2 linked regions of the Arabidopsis thaliana genome follow. The protein of the gene in region 2 interacts with the protein of the main gene of each other region in a pairwise test. Each region holds a gene or a part of one and is shown on either strand. Other genes may lie near its edges.

What was found.
Region 1: the proteins of AT5G23280 (region 2) and AT1G05710 interact in binary tests that used the Arabidopsis thaliana proteins (3 or more experiments, as listed by UniProt).

Annotation. Positions count from the first base shown.
Region 1 is NC_003070.9:1,712,842-1,720,132, forward strand, and holds AT1G05710 (basic helix-loop-helix (bHLH) DNA-binding superfamily protein), read left to right. Parts: upstream 1-1,976; 5' UTR 1,977-2,543; exon of another isoform or gene 2,544-3,354; 5' UTR 3,355-3,356; coding exon 3,357-3,467; intron 3,468-3,577; coding exon 3,578-3,643; intron 3,644-3,717; coding exon 3,718-3,894; intron 3,895-4,020; coding exon 4,021-4,182; 3' UTR 4,183-4,449; downstream 4,450-7,291. Other genes in the region: AT1G05700 (Leucine-rich repeat transmembrane protein kinase protein), read left to right, coding at 65-404; AT1G05720 (selenoprotein family protein), read right to left, coding at 4,836-4,908, 5,279-5,460, 5,589-5,647, 5,831-6,008; AT1G05730 (FAM136A-like protein (DUF842)), read left to right, coding at 6,266-6,394, 6,919-7,056, 7,136-7,291.
Region 2 is NC_003076.8:7,838,239-7,847,250, forward strand, and holds AT5G23280 (TCP family transcription factor), read left to right. Parts: upstream 1-4,368; 5' UTR 4,369-4,778; coding exon 4,779-5,531; 3' UTR 5,532-6,411; downstream 6,412-9,012. Other genes in the region: TT16 (K-box region and MADS-box transcription factor family protein), read left to right, coding at 1-102; STP11 (sugar transporter 11), read left to right, coding at 894-1,029, 1,116-2,071, 2,184-2,636; PFD5 (prefoldin 5), read left to right, coding at 7,906-8,089, 8,161-8,264, 8,348-8,425.

The sequences.
Region 1 (7,291 bases), on a different chromosome or scaffold from region 2:
TTATGTCTGCCATATTTGCCAAACATGGAATCTTTTTTTAGTGATTGTATGCTCCGTTTTGCAGATGCTTTGAGACAAATGGGCTAAACGAGAAGAGTGACATTTACAGCTTTGGAGTTGTTCTGTTGGAGATGATTACAGGCAAAACCGTGATCAAAGAGTCACAAACGAAACGTGTTCATGTGAGTGATTGGGTGATATCGATCTTGAGGTCTACGAATGATGTGAACAATGTTATAGATTCAAAGATGGCGAAAGATTTTGATGTAAACTCTGTATGGAAAGTTGTGGAGCTTGCATTATCCTCTGTTTCGCAGAACGTCTCTGATAGGCCAAACATGCCACATATTGTTAGAGGATTGAATGAGTGTCTTCAAAGAGAAGAGAGTAACAAGAACTATTGATGTCACAACGCAAAGGGTGTAGAATAAGTCAAGGGGTTGGAAACAGAAAGATGTTGAAAACTTGGGAGTGTTTATATATTTAAATTTTTGAAAGGCTTTTTAAAGTTTGTGTTGCTAATGCTATATCTAAAAGCCCAAAGTAATAATGTAATGGAATAGAAAAGAATCCATAATAAATAGGAAAAAACAAAGAAAAAGTACCTAATCCGGTAGCCACAAGGAAAAAAGAGGACAAGAAGATGGTGACAACAAGACAAAGACCGAAGCCGCGTAGGACCCCAAACGTACCTTTTAAATAAAACGCTGATTCCTTTCGGACTTTTGCGTCGCACGGTCTGTGCCGCTGTCCCCACAAATCTCTATTTTTTACACACGCAATCTCTACCTCTGCGTCTGCGTTTCGAAACGTGACTCTTCTAACCGCTCCACGTGAGTGACTTTTAGAGCGAGTTTGGTGTCCGAAACCACGCGTGCGCGTCTCCTCAACGCCTGAGTCTCTCTATGAAGTTGCATTGACGTCAGAAAAATTAAATTTGTCTTACTTGAAACATAAAAATTTACAGTAGTAAATTATCATTTTCATAACACTTCATTTATTCTCTTGTAGTTAAACAACGGATATACTAATGAAATGAACTCGTTCAATCTAATTAAAATCTCATTATTAATGGTAGACGCTAGAGAATCTCATTATTGTAGGTGTTAATTTATGAAAATAATACATCACTTTCAATCACTGATTTGATTAGATTGATGGATTTTATATACAGCCCATGTTTTTAACCTCTCTAGTTGAAATTTTGGTTGATTTTAAAGAGAAGAGAACAAAAATTCAAAGACGAAAAAAGCAAAAAGTGGAAAGTAGAAACAAAAAGACTGATGGTGCAGAGAGCTGGTCAAATATGTTGACAAAATAAAATAACCTTACAATGTCACTATCATCAATAAATGAAAAAATAGTTCTCTCTATCTATCTATAATAATAATAATAAAAGCAACTTCTACCTGGGACTGATATTAACTACGAAGACCTCTCACTCTCTCAATGGGTTGTATAATAGCTGTCAAATTATGATGTATTTAGTCACAAGACAAAAGACTGATTCTGAACACTAAAGCCTAATTAGGGATTAGTCTTTACTCTTTAGTCATCTGTTTCATCTTTATTATTAAAGTTTGCAGGAGTTGTAGTAGATGGTGTGGGGGCAATATATGCAGAACATGCATGCTTCCAAAATGTCCTAACTACGTCACTTAAGGTTCCATTTTTTTCTATCTAAACTAAGAAATACTTATGTATCTATTAATCTACATCTAATTGGTTGTCAAAAAAAAATGTATCATAGAAGTCTTTGGAGCACATAAATAAAACATCTGGAGATTTTCTGAACATAATGTGAGGTCAAGAATTTGTGTGCAAAATTACAATTTTCAGGCATGAGTGGCTCTGATTTTGACCATTTGAATAAATTTGTAGCTTGTTATAACCTTTACACTCGTAAGGAAAAAATTATCAAAAAATATTGATAGTCGATAAAATTGAAAACTCTAGATTTATACAAATCAATAAATAAATTTGAAAATAATTAAATGAGAAGTAAATGACATTACTTCACCCAAAAAGAGTCTAGACGAAAAAGACAGACATAAAAATAAGTCCCCTTCTATTTGTTTGGAGCATAAACAAAAACAGACACAGTTTCTTCTCTCTCTCTCTCTGTCTCTTTCCTTTTCTCACGCCGAGATTTCTGCGACTGCTCTAATCTTACGACCTTATAAGAAACGACGCTTATTTTCACTCTGCTTGAGCTCTTCATCGTGTCACACAGCACGATCTTGGACGTCGTTTTAAGCGCAAAACAAAGGAAAAAGACTGACGTTTATACATACTAAATACTGGTTTGGAGTTTTGCCTTTTGGACTCAGAAAACTCAAAAGAGAGAGAGAGACATTTCTGTATCTTATCGGGTTTTGTGTTGTCAGAAAGAAGCTCAAGGACAAAAAAAAAAGCAATTATTTTTAGGGTTCAAACGAAGCAAAATTTGGAACTTTCAGAAGTTGTGGGTGGTGGCTTCTTGAACAATAAAGCTTTTTCTTAGACTCTTCTTCCAATTTGTGACTCTACCTATCTCTCTCTCCGTAAGCTCTTTCTCTCTCTCTTTATTCGTTCTTTCTTTATTTGCTCTGTTTCTTTACTCCATTTTTGGCTTAATTACACCAAATTTAGTCTGCTAAAAGCTAATTTCAAGCATAATTACTTATCTCTCCTCTTCTTGTTGCTAACCTTCAGTTGGATTAGGTTTTGATTTCGTTTATACGACAATCCCCGTGACTGAAAAAGTTACCAACTTTGATAGATATCGTTACCAGATTCTACTCATAGTTTTGTTATTGTAATGCAAGAAGTTGAGTTCTTGTTTACATTAACTTCAATAATTCACTGAGAGTGACTTTTTGTTCTCCTCTGATCCGTGGAGGATTCTCTATATGTGTTTTGTTTTTTGGGGGGGTTTTCTCCTGTTTTTAGGGACTCTATTGATTCATGCATATATGATGTTATTCTCTGTTTATGAGTTTATGCAAATAATCTAAGCAAGGTATGATAACATATTTAATCTTTTTGTTTGAGCTTATAATTGTGCTTAGAAATCTTAAAATAATGCTTAAGCTGATGTGAACTTGAGGCCTAGCCTCTGACCACAAATCCTAGCCTACTTCGTTGACCATACCTTTGTCTTGGCTTAATATTCTAAATTTCTCTTCCAAATCCTGTCTCCCAATGCATTGGTTGGTCCAAAACAAGATCATCATTTCATAGATCTTGTAATCTTTCTGGTCTGTAATTTGCTCTAGGATGGTAACCTTGTACCCTATGTAACATGTCTTGTTAGTATAAATTTTGGGTCATGTTGTGTTGATGACTCTTTAGCGCATTTCTTATTGACAAAAGGTATGGAATTCTCTAGAGACGCTGGAATGATGATGGAGAATAAGCGGAATGTCTGCTCTCTCGGAGAAAGCAGTATCAAACGCCACAAGTCTGATCTCTCTTTCAGTTCCAAGGTTTTGCTTATCCTAGCTAGTTTTCATGGATTTCTCGGTCGAAATAGTCTTCGGTACAACAAATTGCATGGTAATGATCCGTCCATCTTTGTTCTCTTAATGGCAAACAGGAGAGGAAGGACAAGGTTGGAGAACGTATTTCAGCTCTTCAACAAATAGTTTCCCCTTATGGAAAGGTAACTTTGTTTTTTTTGGCAAGCAAATCAAAAGAATCTGTCTCTCAGCTCATACTTTTCTCTAATGTTCACAGACCGACACTGCATCAGTTCTTCTAGACGCGATGCATTACATAGAGTTTCTTCACGAACAAGTGAAGGTCTGCAGTTCAATACCAAGCATGATTCATTCATCTTTATCTGAGTTCCCATGTTCTTTTGTACAGGTGCTAAGTGCTCCGTATCTGCAAACGGTACCTGATGCTACGCAGGTGAGTATGATCTTGAATCTCAACTTCATTTATACTTAGTTCACTAGTTCTACTCTGCATCTGACAGATCTTCACTTGGAACTTGAATACCTTGCACGGACTGATTTTCCCGTCTTTTGTAACCAGGAGGAGCTGGAGCAGTACAGCCTGAGAAACAGAGGATTATGTCTTGTTCCAATGGAGAATACAGTTGGAGTTGCTCAAAGCAACGGCGCTGATATATGGGCGCCCGTGAAGACTCCTCTATCACCAGCTTTCAGTGTCACATCTCAATCACCCTTTAGATGACCAATTCGACTAATCACCTACTACGATCTTTGTGTTAAGCCTAAAAAAGAATGACCAATTGTTATTTTTCTGATGATGCCTCTGTAACATATATAGACAGAGAGCACATGATGTTGGTTTAGAACAGCTCATGGTTGGCAATGATTGTTATTATTATTCGACTGCTTAATGCATCCCCTTACTTTGGACTTGTGTAATATGCCCAAACAGGAACCAAATGATTTTAATGCAAAGTAATCTTTATCCCAAAAAATGCCTCAGATATCTTAAGCTTTTCTTTGTGTGATTCTTACCTACAGCATCCAATACATTATTCTAGATCTAAAGACCCAAGGCAAGCTTTCTTTCAGTGCTGAAGGTATGATCGTGGATTTCCCTAATACATATAGCTTTCTTTCAGTGCTTGTAATAGTGCCAAACTGCTGACCACAGAATTAAGATTATCCTTTCATAAGAACATTGGATTAAATACATTACCACTGAGAATTGCAAAGGTTCAGAACATACAGACTGTTGATACCAAGGGACCAAATAGCTTGGACAAAGATAAGATAAGTCGGTCATAATGTGTTTTTAACTACTAGATTGCAATGCTTTGGCATATGTAAATGTGACAGGGAGGATCATCCTCTTCAGCTCTACATGGGATAAAACTAACTTGCTGCAGTAGGCTTGACCTTCTCTCGCATATACTGCAGTAGATGTTCGCGTTTCCAGTTGTCGATTCTGCAAAACAAGCAAATCAAGAAACAAAGAGGTCAGCTACAACCTTGGAGGAATGAAGTTGTGTTGCTGATAGAGGATGAGGTGTTAAAGACATCACTTATTCATGCTCACAACGAGAAAATCCTTTCAAAAACCAATTTAAACTAGAGGTCTAAGTAAATGATACAGCAGAATGTAACAGAGCAACGAGAGAGTGAGAATAGAAACTGCTGCAGATCCATGGATAGTTATATTTTTATCTACCAAGCTAACATGGATATATCAGGTCACCTTGAACGTCTTAAATCAGGTCAACTCGTTCCCCCACCCAAACTCTAATACTAAAGATTCTAGCAAGGAGTTGAGCAAAGGGGGTTATAAAGCAACTTACCTAATTGATTCCTTATGTTCACCGTCTTCGTCGAGCATGATCAACTTGGGTGGTGAGTTGAAAATGTACTGAACTTTGACGCTAGGGAACTTTTCTTTCTCTTCTTCAATGAAACCAACAATTTCAGGATAGAAAACCAACTTCCTCATACACACCTCTAATATAGCGCCAGAATAGGTAACCTGCAATGGCAAAAAAATGTAAACTTCTCTTCATTCATATCCATGTTATAGGAGATGTTTCTGTATTCATCTAATCTATTCCCATTAAAATTCAAAAGCACTACAAATTACATGCCTAGTGATCGTACCTTGCTCATGGAATCCTCAGAATCATCAGCACAACATTTCAAGCAATCAGATACCAACTCTGCAAACAAGATCAATCAATATAAGATAACCAATTTAGTAATTCCACTCCTCAAAACCAACTTTAGAGAGAATGATCTAGCTCATAAAATACACAAAAACTAAAATATAGAATCTTTTGGGGGAAAAAAAGCAAAACTGCAGTAATTGAGATCAAATAAAGCACGCATAGAAAGGCACGAACCTTGGTCCTTAACGTATTCAGAGAGTGAGTGGCAATCGGAGCAGAGTGCAAGACCGCTAAACCCTAGATCCTCACATTCTTTAGTGCTGAGCTGCTCTTTTGCTGAGATCGTCGATGCCAATATCAAAATCATCATCGCTGATAAAACAACCATCTTCGCCATCTCTCTCTGTTTCATCAACAGATCAAAGTCTTCGCAGATCCGACGCTACTCTAACTAATGTCGCTGCCTTGCTATGATCCGATCCGGTCAATTCCGGTTTTTTAAGTATCCGAAAAAGCAATCTTGGTATAGAGGAAACCATCTCCGGTTATAAATAAAAAAGTCTTAACCGACGTGAAAAGTGTTAAAACCCCAATTCACATTAGCCTGTTGCGATCTAAAACCTCTAAAACCCTAGAATCAAAATCGCCCATTCGAGATCGAGAGAGACGATGGATCACATAGCGGCAGCGGAGGAGCAAATTGTAACGGAGAGGATTAGAAGAAAACTTGAAGAAGTTAATGCAACTGCTCAATCGCAACTCTCTCCTATTCAAGATCACATCAATTTCACCCTTCAGGTATATTAACAATCATATACCTTTTTGTAGCATTCCTGATCCTCCTACTCATAGGTGTATGTTATTTGTGTGCTCGTGTTGATTTTGATTCGGGTGACCAATTTACCAATTCTGAAAAAGCCGAAATTTTCCTTCAACTTGTAATCGCAACAAAAGAGAAAAACTTGTCCTTTTGTTCCATATATTGTCCAATTCAAGGCATTAATCTGTTCTAGTTAAGTTCACTTGTGGACTTGTGGTATATCTCTTTTATAATGGGTTTTAACTAAGTTTTCTGAGCTAATTTTTGCTGCCCTTTGATACAATCTGTCTAGTTAATAACATGAAAGTTTGTAGTCATGTTAAGTTCCTGGAAGCTGTGTCTTGTTGTAGTCATGTTAAGTAGTTCCTGGAAACTTAAACTTGACAGTTTTCATTATATCTCTACAGCTATATTAGTATAACTCAAGTTGTATGAAAGCGTATTGTTTTCATATTTATTTGTTAAGTTGATGAATCAAACCCGGAAAATTGATCAATTGCAGCAAGCCTATTTCAAATGTGCATACGAGTGCTTTGACAGAAATAGGAAGCAAGAGGAGATAGCCAACTGTGTTGAGCACTGCAGTGTTCCAGTTGTCAATGCTCAACAGCATTTCGAAGGCGAAATGTCTCAGTTTCAGGTATAATATAATTTCAACTCACAAAAAATGCATAATTTTACAATGGACTGAGAAACTTGCAATTGTAATTATGATGCAGGAAAGGATGAACAGATCTCTCATGGTCTGTCAAGACAAATTTGAGGCTGCAAAGCTCCATAAGAACAGGGGAGATGCCGCCAAAGCTATGGAGAGTTGTGTGAACACATCCATTGAGGATAGTCTCGATACATTGCCTCATATTGTGCAGAGAATG
Region 2 (9,012 bases):
GTTCTTCAGCTTGCTACACTTCCTTCTGAGATTGATCCTACTTACAATCTCCAGCTTGCTCAGCCTAATCTTCAAAACGATCCAACGGCCCAGAATGATTAATACAATTCTCAATAGATATCTACTCTTTCTTTATGGAGACAGATTCATGAACTTTTATTACCTATATTTTGATAAGCCAGTGTCTTCTTTTGTGTGGCTATGGAAACCTTGTTTAAAGCACAATGCACTTGAGTTCTTGGTTATATAATTAATCATCATTATTACATATTTTCCAACTAAAGATCATCTGTTTATGTAATGAAACACCCTTGTTCTCCAAGTTATGTTTGTGAAAAAAAAAAGCTGTTGCTTTGATGTTTTGAAGTGAAGATTGGCCATTACCTGGAGACAGAGTGCAAGAGATAAGCAAAACTATTCTTAGACTATTAGCCGCAAGAAATACAAAAAATCCGGCAAATGTCTTATAGACTATTAGCCGCAAAAAAATAAAAAATAAAAAATCCCGGAAATGTCTTATAGATTACAAGCCGCAAAACTATTCTTAGATTATTAGCTGCCAAAAAAAAACATGAGGATCTTTGTAATGTCTGGTGGATTCAGACAGAGTGGATCATAATCCCGAAAAAAGCTCTTATAAAAAACTAAGCCATGATTGAAAACATTCCAATAACTTTTACAGAGGACTGCAAGAACGATCAAGAAGCAAGAAAGACGTTTCAGAAGAACAAACGTCTTCTTCTTGTTCTTCTTCTTCCTCCTCTTCTTTTTTTTGTTTTCATTACGACGAGAAAATTTGAGTTCGTGATCGCTTGAACAACCATCATCATCATCTAGAGCCCCAAAAAAGAAGAAGCTGCGGGCCGGTTATTTTGGTTAATTAGTCTAAATCCATGGCAGGAGGGGCATTTATAGACGAGAGTGGCCATGGAGGAGACTACGAAGGTCGTGTAACCGCGTTTGTCATGATAACCTGCATTGTAGCTGCAATGGGTGGTCTCCTCTTTGGTTACGACATTGGTATCTCAGGTTTGTTTCTTGCCAGCCAAGTAAACCAAAATTCTTCTCTCTGCTTCTTTCTTTGTTTTCATGGCGGACATATTATATGTTTTCAGGAGGAGTGATATCAATGGAGGACTTTCTAACGAAATTCTTCCCTGACGTGCTTCGTCAAATGCAAAACAAAAGAGGGCGTGAAACAGAATATTGTAAATATGACAATGAGCTTCTTACTCTCTTCACTTCCTCTCTTTACCTCGCTGCTTTGTTCGCTTCTTTCCTTGCCTCCACCATTACAAGGCTTTTTGGCCGGAAGGTCTCAATGGTTATCGGGTCTCTCGCTTTTCTCTCTGGAGCTCTTCTCAACGGTTTAGCTATCAACCTCGAGATGTTGATCATCGGGCGGTTATTTCTCGGTGTAGGTGTCGGATTCGCTAACCAATCTGTTCCTCTTTACCTCTCTGAGATGGCTCCTGCTAAGATCAGAGGAGCTCTCAACATTGGTTTTCAATTAGCAATCACGATCGGGATCTTAGCCGCGAACATTGTCAATTACGTGACCCCAAAGCTCCAGAACGGGATCGGATGGAGATTATCTCTCGGTTTAGCTGGAGTTCCGGCCGTTATGATGCTTGTCGGATGCTTTTTCTTGCCAGATACGCCAAACTCAATCCTTGAACGTGGAAACAAAGAAAAGGCTAAGGAGATGCTGCAGAAGATCAGAGGAACCATGGAGGTTGAGCATGAGTTTAATGAACTTTGCAACGCGTGTGAAGCCGCGAAGAAAGTTAAGCATCCATGGACGAACATAATGCAAGCTCGTTATCGACCGCAGCTCACGTTTTGTACCTTCATCCCATTCTTCCAGCAGCTAACCGGGATCAATGTCATTATGTTCTATGCACCTGTTCTGTTTAAGACCATCGGTTTTGGAAATGACGCCTCTCTCATATCCGCAGTTATCACCGGTCTTGTCAATGTCCTTTCCACCATTGTCTCCATCTACTCCGTTGACAAATTCGGACGAAGAGCTTTGTTTCTTCAAGGTGGTTTTCAGATGATCGTGACCCAGGTGCGTACAAACCCTAAAACAATGAAAATACTCTGTTTTTCAAAACAGAGTATCTTGCTCTGCTTTCTAAAACCGAGGTAGGTAACAATGATTTGTTTTGCTTTGGCTTCAGATCGCGGTCGGGTCGATGATCGGATGGAAATTTGGATTCAACGGGGAAGGAAATTTGTCAGGGGTTGATGCGGATATAATCTTGGCACTGATATGTCTCTATGTGGCGGGTTTCGCGTGGTCATGGGGACCGTTGGGATGGTTAGTGCCGAGTGAGATATGTCCATTGGAAATTAGATCAGCAGGACAATCGTTAAACGTTTCGGTGAACATGTTCTTTACATTCTTCATTGGACAATTCTTCTTGACGATGCTTTGCCATATGAAGTTTGGTTTGTTCTATTTCTTCGCGGGTATGGTCTTGATCATGACCATTTTCATTTACTTCTTGTTGCCGGAGACAAAAGGTGTTCCGATTGAGGAGATGGGGAAAGTGTGGAAAGAGCATAGATATTGGGGGAAATATAGTAATAATGATGATGGTGATGATGTTGATGATGATGCTTATTTTTAGTTGATGATTATTTGGGATTTAAGGATATGTTAGGATTAAAAACTTATTATTGAGAAAATGCTTATACTGACCAATGTGAGAAAATAAAAATGAGGATATAATAAACAAGTGTACATAATTTGAGGATTTATGACCGTACTTAAAATTACTCGAAACTTCTTGAACTAAAAATAATATAAATTTTTTGTTTAGACTAAAATGATCATTTTTTACGATAAAGATACATGTCGAGTAATTATTAAGAGTATCCAAATTATCCGTTTGAATTGTTAAAATATTTAAAATTATTATAATTTTCCGGCTACTAAAAATTCTCTAACACTTCACAAGATTATTAAAAAAAACTCTCTCTCTCTATTTGTACTTAAAATAACCCAAATTTGACCCATTCTCATTTGGATAGCGATTTTTAAATTATTGAATTTATCTACCATATCATATCTTATCAGTTGTTTCCAAAACTTAGAAGTGAAATTAAATTGGTTATTTATTTTTGTTTGTAACATAACTAAATCAACCATCAAGTCAATCTCGAACAAACAATTGTTATCATCCATTATCCAATATTAATTACTTTTTTGTTTTGTTTTGTTACAAGTGAATACTATTCACATGATTTATAAATTAGTATTATTATTCACTCCACAACATTTTGTATCAGATTAGGTTTCAAGTTTATAGTTACACAAAAAATGGATTCCGAAATCTTTTAGATTAAAAAAAAAAAGGATCAAAAGTTCAAGGTACACAATCTTTTTATAAAACTGCCGACATGATGCCATATCGCTCATGATTGCATTTATTTTTTTGCATTAGCTCACAAGAATGTTAAAAATTAACGATAAGAAAATCCATTTAATTAGGGGGTACGAGTACGAAAATAATTAAAACAAATATTAGCGTTTGGTGGTGCATAACTCAGCATAAGTCATAAAATAAATTGTTGTCACGATATGTGAAGAAAATCTCGTTGCGATGAGACGAACGACATAAAGAAAATCTTGCGTATCTGACAAGTGGACTAATCCACTTATTTTCAATGTCAGTCTCAAAATGGGAGTTATTAAAATTAATGTTCGTTCTTTTTATTTTATACACACATTTATTTTATATATATATTTATATTATATACAGTAAAACCTCTATAAATTAATAACATTAAAACCATAATATTTTTAATTTATAGTACTATTAATTTAAATGTCTTTGGGTATTTTAGTTGGCAAAACTCAACTAATTACAGGTAACTTTCTTTTGTGATGTCGACAAAAGAATTCTGAATAATTTTTAAGGGTTTCGATTTTTGCCATTTCACGTAAAACACGTGATACTGGGCTACTGGCATTTACGGCAGAGTAACTGGTGGCAAATATTATTACCAATATACTATAAACAAATAAATAAAAAGAACAAACACTAGTATTAAATTTTGATTGTTTTATAACTCAATTAAGTTTTGATGTCAAAGTCTACTTACCAATCAATTACCTCACTGATTTGTCTCCTTTTCAATCTTTTCGATTGTTTTATGGAAACAGCTTTCTAAAAAAGATTAATTTTCACGTAATCACAAAACAAATGTTCACATTAGCCCAAATCTAATAACCACATTAGGTTGGTCCCAAAAATTTAAAAACAAAAAAAAACTTTTTTAGACAGAGAGACCAACTTCAATACATTTAGTTTCATGTATTTTAAATAAGATTAGTATCTTCGTGTTAATTTCCAAATTCAAGCTTATAGTAAGTTAGTAATAATGTATATAATGACGTGGCAAAGGATAAATGTCTCTTTAAATGCACGTAGCAGCCGGAGGAGTGACCCACCTACCTAGTGTTAAATTCTCCTGCCGGAGTTTGGTCCCCACGCGACCTTCTTCTTCACCGGAGTAATAACGCGCGTGAGCTCCACCGCGTCGGGACAAAACTAATGTCCTCTCAAAAAAGCAAAAAAAAAAAGAGAAAAAAAACCAGAGATGGTGAGCTGTGTGAAAAGGACCCCACCACACCCATGTGCTTCTCCTTCCTGTCTCCACCAGCTCCCTCCTTCTCAATCATTAGCTTCTTCTCTTCTCTTCTCTCACAGAGAGAGTAATCACAAGCCAAGTGAGAAAAAGAAAACACTAAACCCAGATCGAAAACCATGTCTATTAACAACAACAACAACAACAACAACAATAACAACGATGGTCTTATGATCTCATCAAACGGAGCTTTAATCGAACAACAACCATCAGTCGTTGTGAAGAAACCACCGGCGAAAGATCGACATAGCAAAGTCGATGGAAGAGGGAGAAGAATCCGTATGCCGATTATATGTGCTGCTCGTGTTTTTCAGCTAACGAGAGAGCTTGGTCATAAGTCAGATGGCCAAACAATTGAATGGTTACTTCGTCAAGCAGAGCCTTCTATTATAGCTGCAACAGGAACTGGTACAACTCCAGCGAGTTTCTCAACTGCTTCTGTCTCTATCCGTGGAGCCACCAATTCTACTTCTTTAGATCATAAACCCACTTCTTTACTTGGTGGTACGTCACCGTTTATACTTGGGAAACGTGTTAGAGCTGATGAGGATAGTAATAATAGTCATAATCATAGTTCTGTTGGTAAAGATGAGACCTTTACGACAACACCAGCTGGGTTTTGGGCTGTTCCGGCGAGGCCGGATTTTGGACAAGTTTGGAGTTTTGCTGGAGCTCCACAAGAGATGTTTTTACAACAACAACATCATCATCAGCAACCATTGTTTGTTCATCAGCAACAGCAACAACAAGCTGCAATGGGTGAAGCTTCTGCTGCTAGAGTTGGGAATTATCTTCCGGGTCATCTTAATTTGCTTGCTTCTTTATCCGGTGGATCTCCCGGGTCGGATCGAAGAGAGGAAGATCCACGTTAATGGTTTAAGCCCTTTTAGGTTTGAGGGCAAAATTTGGTATATATATTTATTATCTTCTCTTCTCTATTGTTGTCATTGTTTCTCTATGTGTGTGTTTTAGTGTTGTTAGAGATTGATTTGGTTTCAGAATCTCTGCAAGTGATTTGAGAGTTTTCGTTAGCTTTAAGTAAGTTAAAGACGGTTGTTTTTGATTAGGGTTAAATTAGGGTTTAAGAATCTGTTGTTTTTTTGGAGGGAGATCGATTTCTTATCGGATCCAAGATTACTTTTAGGAAAAAAGGGAAAATTTCAGAAACCACGGTGGTTTCTTTTCCTCTTTTTTTTTTTGTGTCTGTTTTTTTTTTCCGGTGAAACAGAGCCGTCGATTAAAATTTCAGATATATATTTAAATGTTTTAATATGGTTTGTTGTTGTTGTTGCTAATTGTGTAATGTGTTACAACAATTGTGGTGAAGCATTTGCGTAAGCTGTTAACCACGTTTATTTCTAATAAATGTTTCGAATTCATATTGTTCCTTCCTTCTCTGCATTTATTGATACACAAAAAGCTTTATGTGATAGTGATTGTTTCGTTGAAATCGAACCGGATGATGGATTTTTGAACAGAATCATAATAATCTCTTATTTTTTTAGTGGATATATGTATGAATTGTGGATTTTGAGATGCTATTTATTTTTGGCGTTTCGCGTCTTGATTTAATGCAAGAACTGAACAGAGGATTTAGTAAGAAAAAGAGACAAACCAGTTGTGTCTGAATTCTTCAATTTTGTTGCCTTTTTGTTTCATATGAATCTTTGTACTGTGCTTTTGGAAGTTTGGTTTGTCACGTTAGTCAGAGAAATATTAAATTTAAGTACTGTTAAAACTATATGGCGACATGATATCTTTAAATTAATTGTCTATATTTTTGTTCTAGAAACTGTTACAATTTGAAAGATTAAAGGTGTTAGAATTGTCTCTTCTCTTGTTTGAGATTAGCTATCTAAAAAAATGTGGGTGATACACTCGAACATGAGTTCAAATGGTTGTTTTAATTTTGGCAAAAACCATTTTCACTGTTGTAATAATTTGGACTATCAAAAAAGTAAATTTTATTTTAACCCCTGATATAGTATAATTTCTTATGCAAAGTATATTTAAGGTACAAATAGCATAGATTCAATGATTTCGTTTGTGGTTTTCACAGCTATATATCTGCTGAGTAATGTATTTAACCAATAATTTATTTATCACGATAATACCTGATGAATAAATGTCAAAGTGATTAGATAGGCTTCTTTAGACTATTTAGGTCACACTAACCAATCAAAAGAATCAAACAAATTTTCTCATTAAAATAAGAATCCATTAATGGAAAGATCTTAACAAAAAGTTGGTGTTTTTTCTTTCTTAATTAGGTCTTAGTAATTAACACTTAGCTATATAATGTAATGCAAATAATTATAGGTGGGGGATCTTTGTAATCAACTCGTATCAATAAAACATCCGTACCTTTTATTGTCGAATCATCTAAATGACCCCAACACCAATAATTGATATGGTCCCAATTATTTTCTACCGAAAAATAATTTCTATAGGCTGGCAAATAATTCATATACGAGTCTTTATTTTTCATATACATATTTCGCATTTTGGACCGACACATGTAAATAAATAAATAGCCTCTCATTCACCTCACTCTACTAGCTCTGTGCCGTGTTAAATTAAATGTACTGTCAAATACTTTATGGTTCAGAAAAAATTGATGACTAAACATTATCATAGAGTATCAAAATTTGATTTTCAAAACTGACTATAAAAACAATTTTATAGCAAAAATAAAATAAATTTTAGTTGTTTCTTTTAAACGTTAAAGCATGTTCATTTTTTCCTAGTTGCAGATTCTACAGTGATCAATTTGGGATCTATATTAATTCTATATAAGACCCAAAACATGTAAGAATATTAATTTTATGTGTTATTTGTTTAGTTACAAATGTAAAAATACGCAACTAATTAACTATTTCATTTGGTTACATTTTTTTATAAGTATGACAAAATATAAGCAAATTAAGTATTGTTTGAATTATAAGCAAATATTTTTTTGTTTCAAATTTTTTCAAAATATAGGTAAACTATTAAAAATTGTTTTTTGATTCAATTTTGTTTTAATTTTTATTTGAATCAAAGCATACACTATTTTCTTCTTTAATCATTTAAGGCCTCGAAAATGTTAGAAACAGCTTAAATGGGCCAATATGGGCCTTATGACTTCATCTCTAACGCTGAAGTCTGAACTCCGCTTAACGGGCCATCACACACTTCGTCTCTAACCTTTTGAAGAAAGAGTTTGAGCGCATCGCAAACTCGAAGGCGCGACTGTGAGAGAGAAGAATGGCGTCGTCATCATCGAGAGGAGAGATGGAGAAGATGGGAATCGATCAGCTAAAAGCTTTGAAGGAGCAAGCAGATCTGGAAGTGAATCTTCTTCAAGATAGTCTCAACAACATCCGTACAGCTACCGTTCGTCTCGATGCCGCCGCCGCAGCTCTCAACGATCTCTCTCTTCGACCTCAAGGTTTTGTTTATTTCACCTCTCCTTCTTCAATTTCAGCGATGGATGATTATAAAACAATTTGAAAATTGTAGGTAAGAAGATGCTTGTACCACTGACTGCTTCTCTATACGTGCCTGGGACACTTGATGAAGCTGATAAGGTTTTAGTTGATATTGGCACTGGTTACTTCATTGAGGTAATAGAAAACTTCAATAAGTAATTGGATTATTATGACTTTGTTCTTGTGTAGCTCAAGTGTTTTGCTGCATTTTTATGTAGAAAACAATGGATGATGGAAAAGATTATTGTCAGAGGAAGATCAACTTGCTCAAATCCAACTTTGATCAACTTTTTGAGGTAATATGTATTCGCAATTAGGATCATTTCACTATCTTAGCAACTTTTAAAGGCCTGATTTGGTTTTTAGATAGATTCTGAGTGAAAGGGAATATGTATTCGAATGCCAGTGAGTATGCCTTAGAACTGTACTTTTAGGTATTGAAGGCCTACACTTTTCCTTCATACGGCTTATTGAATATGCCTTAGAACTGTCCTTTTACTGAAGGATAACACATTTCTCATAACATTTACGAAAATTGTGAATGAGCAAAGTGGATAAGATTTTTTGAATTGAATGGAGTCTGATTCTGTTACTAGGGGTGAATCTTTGTGGACTTCTTTCACTGACTTGATCCATTGTATAAAAATGTTTGAGGCCTTAAAGTTTTATGGAATGCAAGTACGTAGTCAGAAAGCCCTTTGGTTGATCCTTTCCTGCATTGTCAAACACTCCCTAGTCCCTAGAGCCATACATGATACACTAAGTAGAGGTCTGAGTATTGTTTTCGTATAAAGCAAAATTCAATGCTATGATCTCACGTTTCCTTTCCATTTGCTTCAATAGTTATTGAAATCAAGTGCATCATTGCCAAATTGTTTCAATA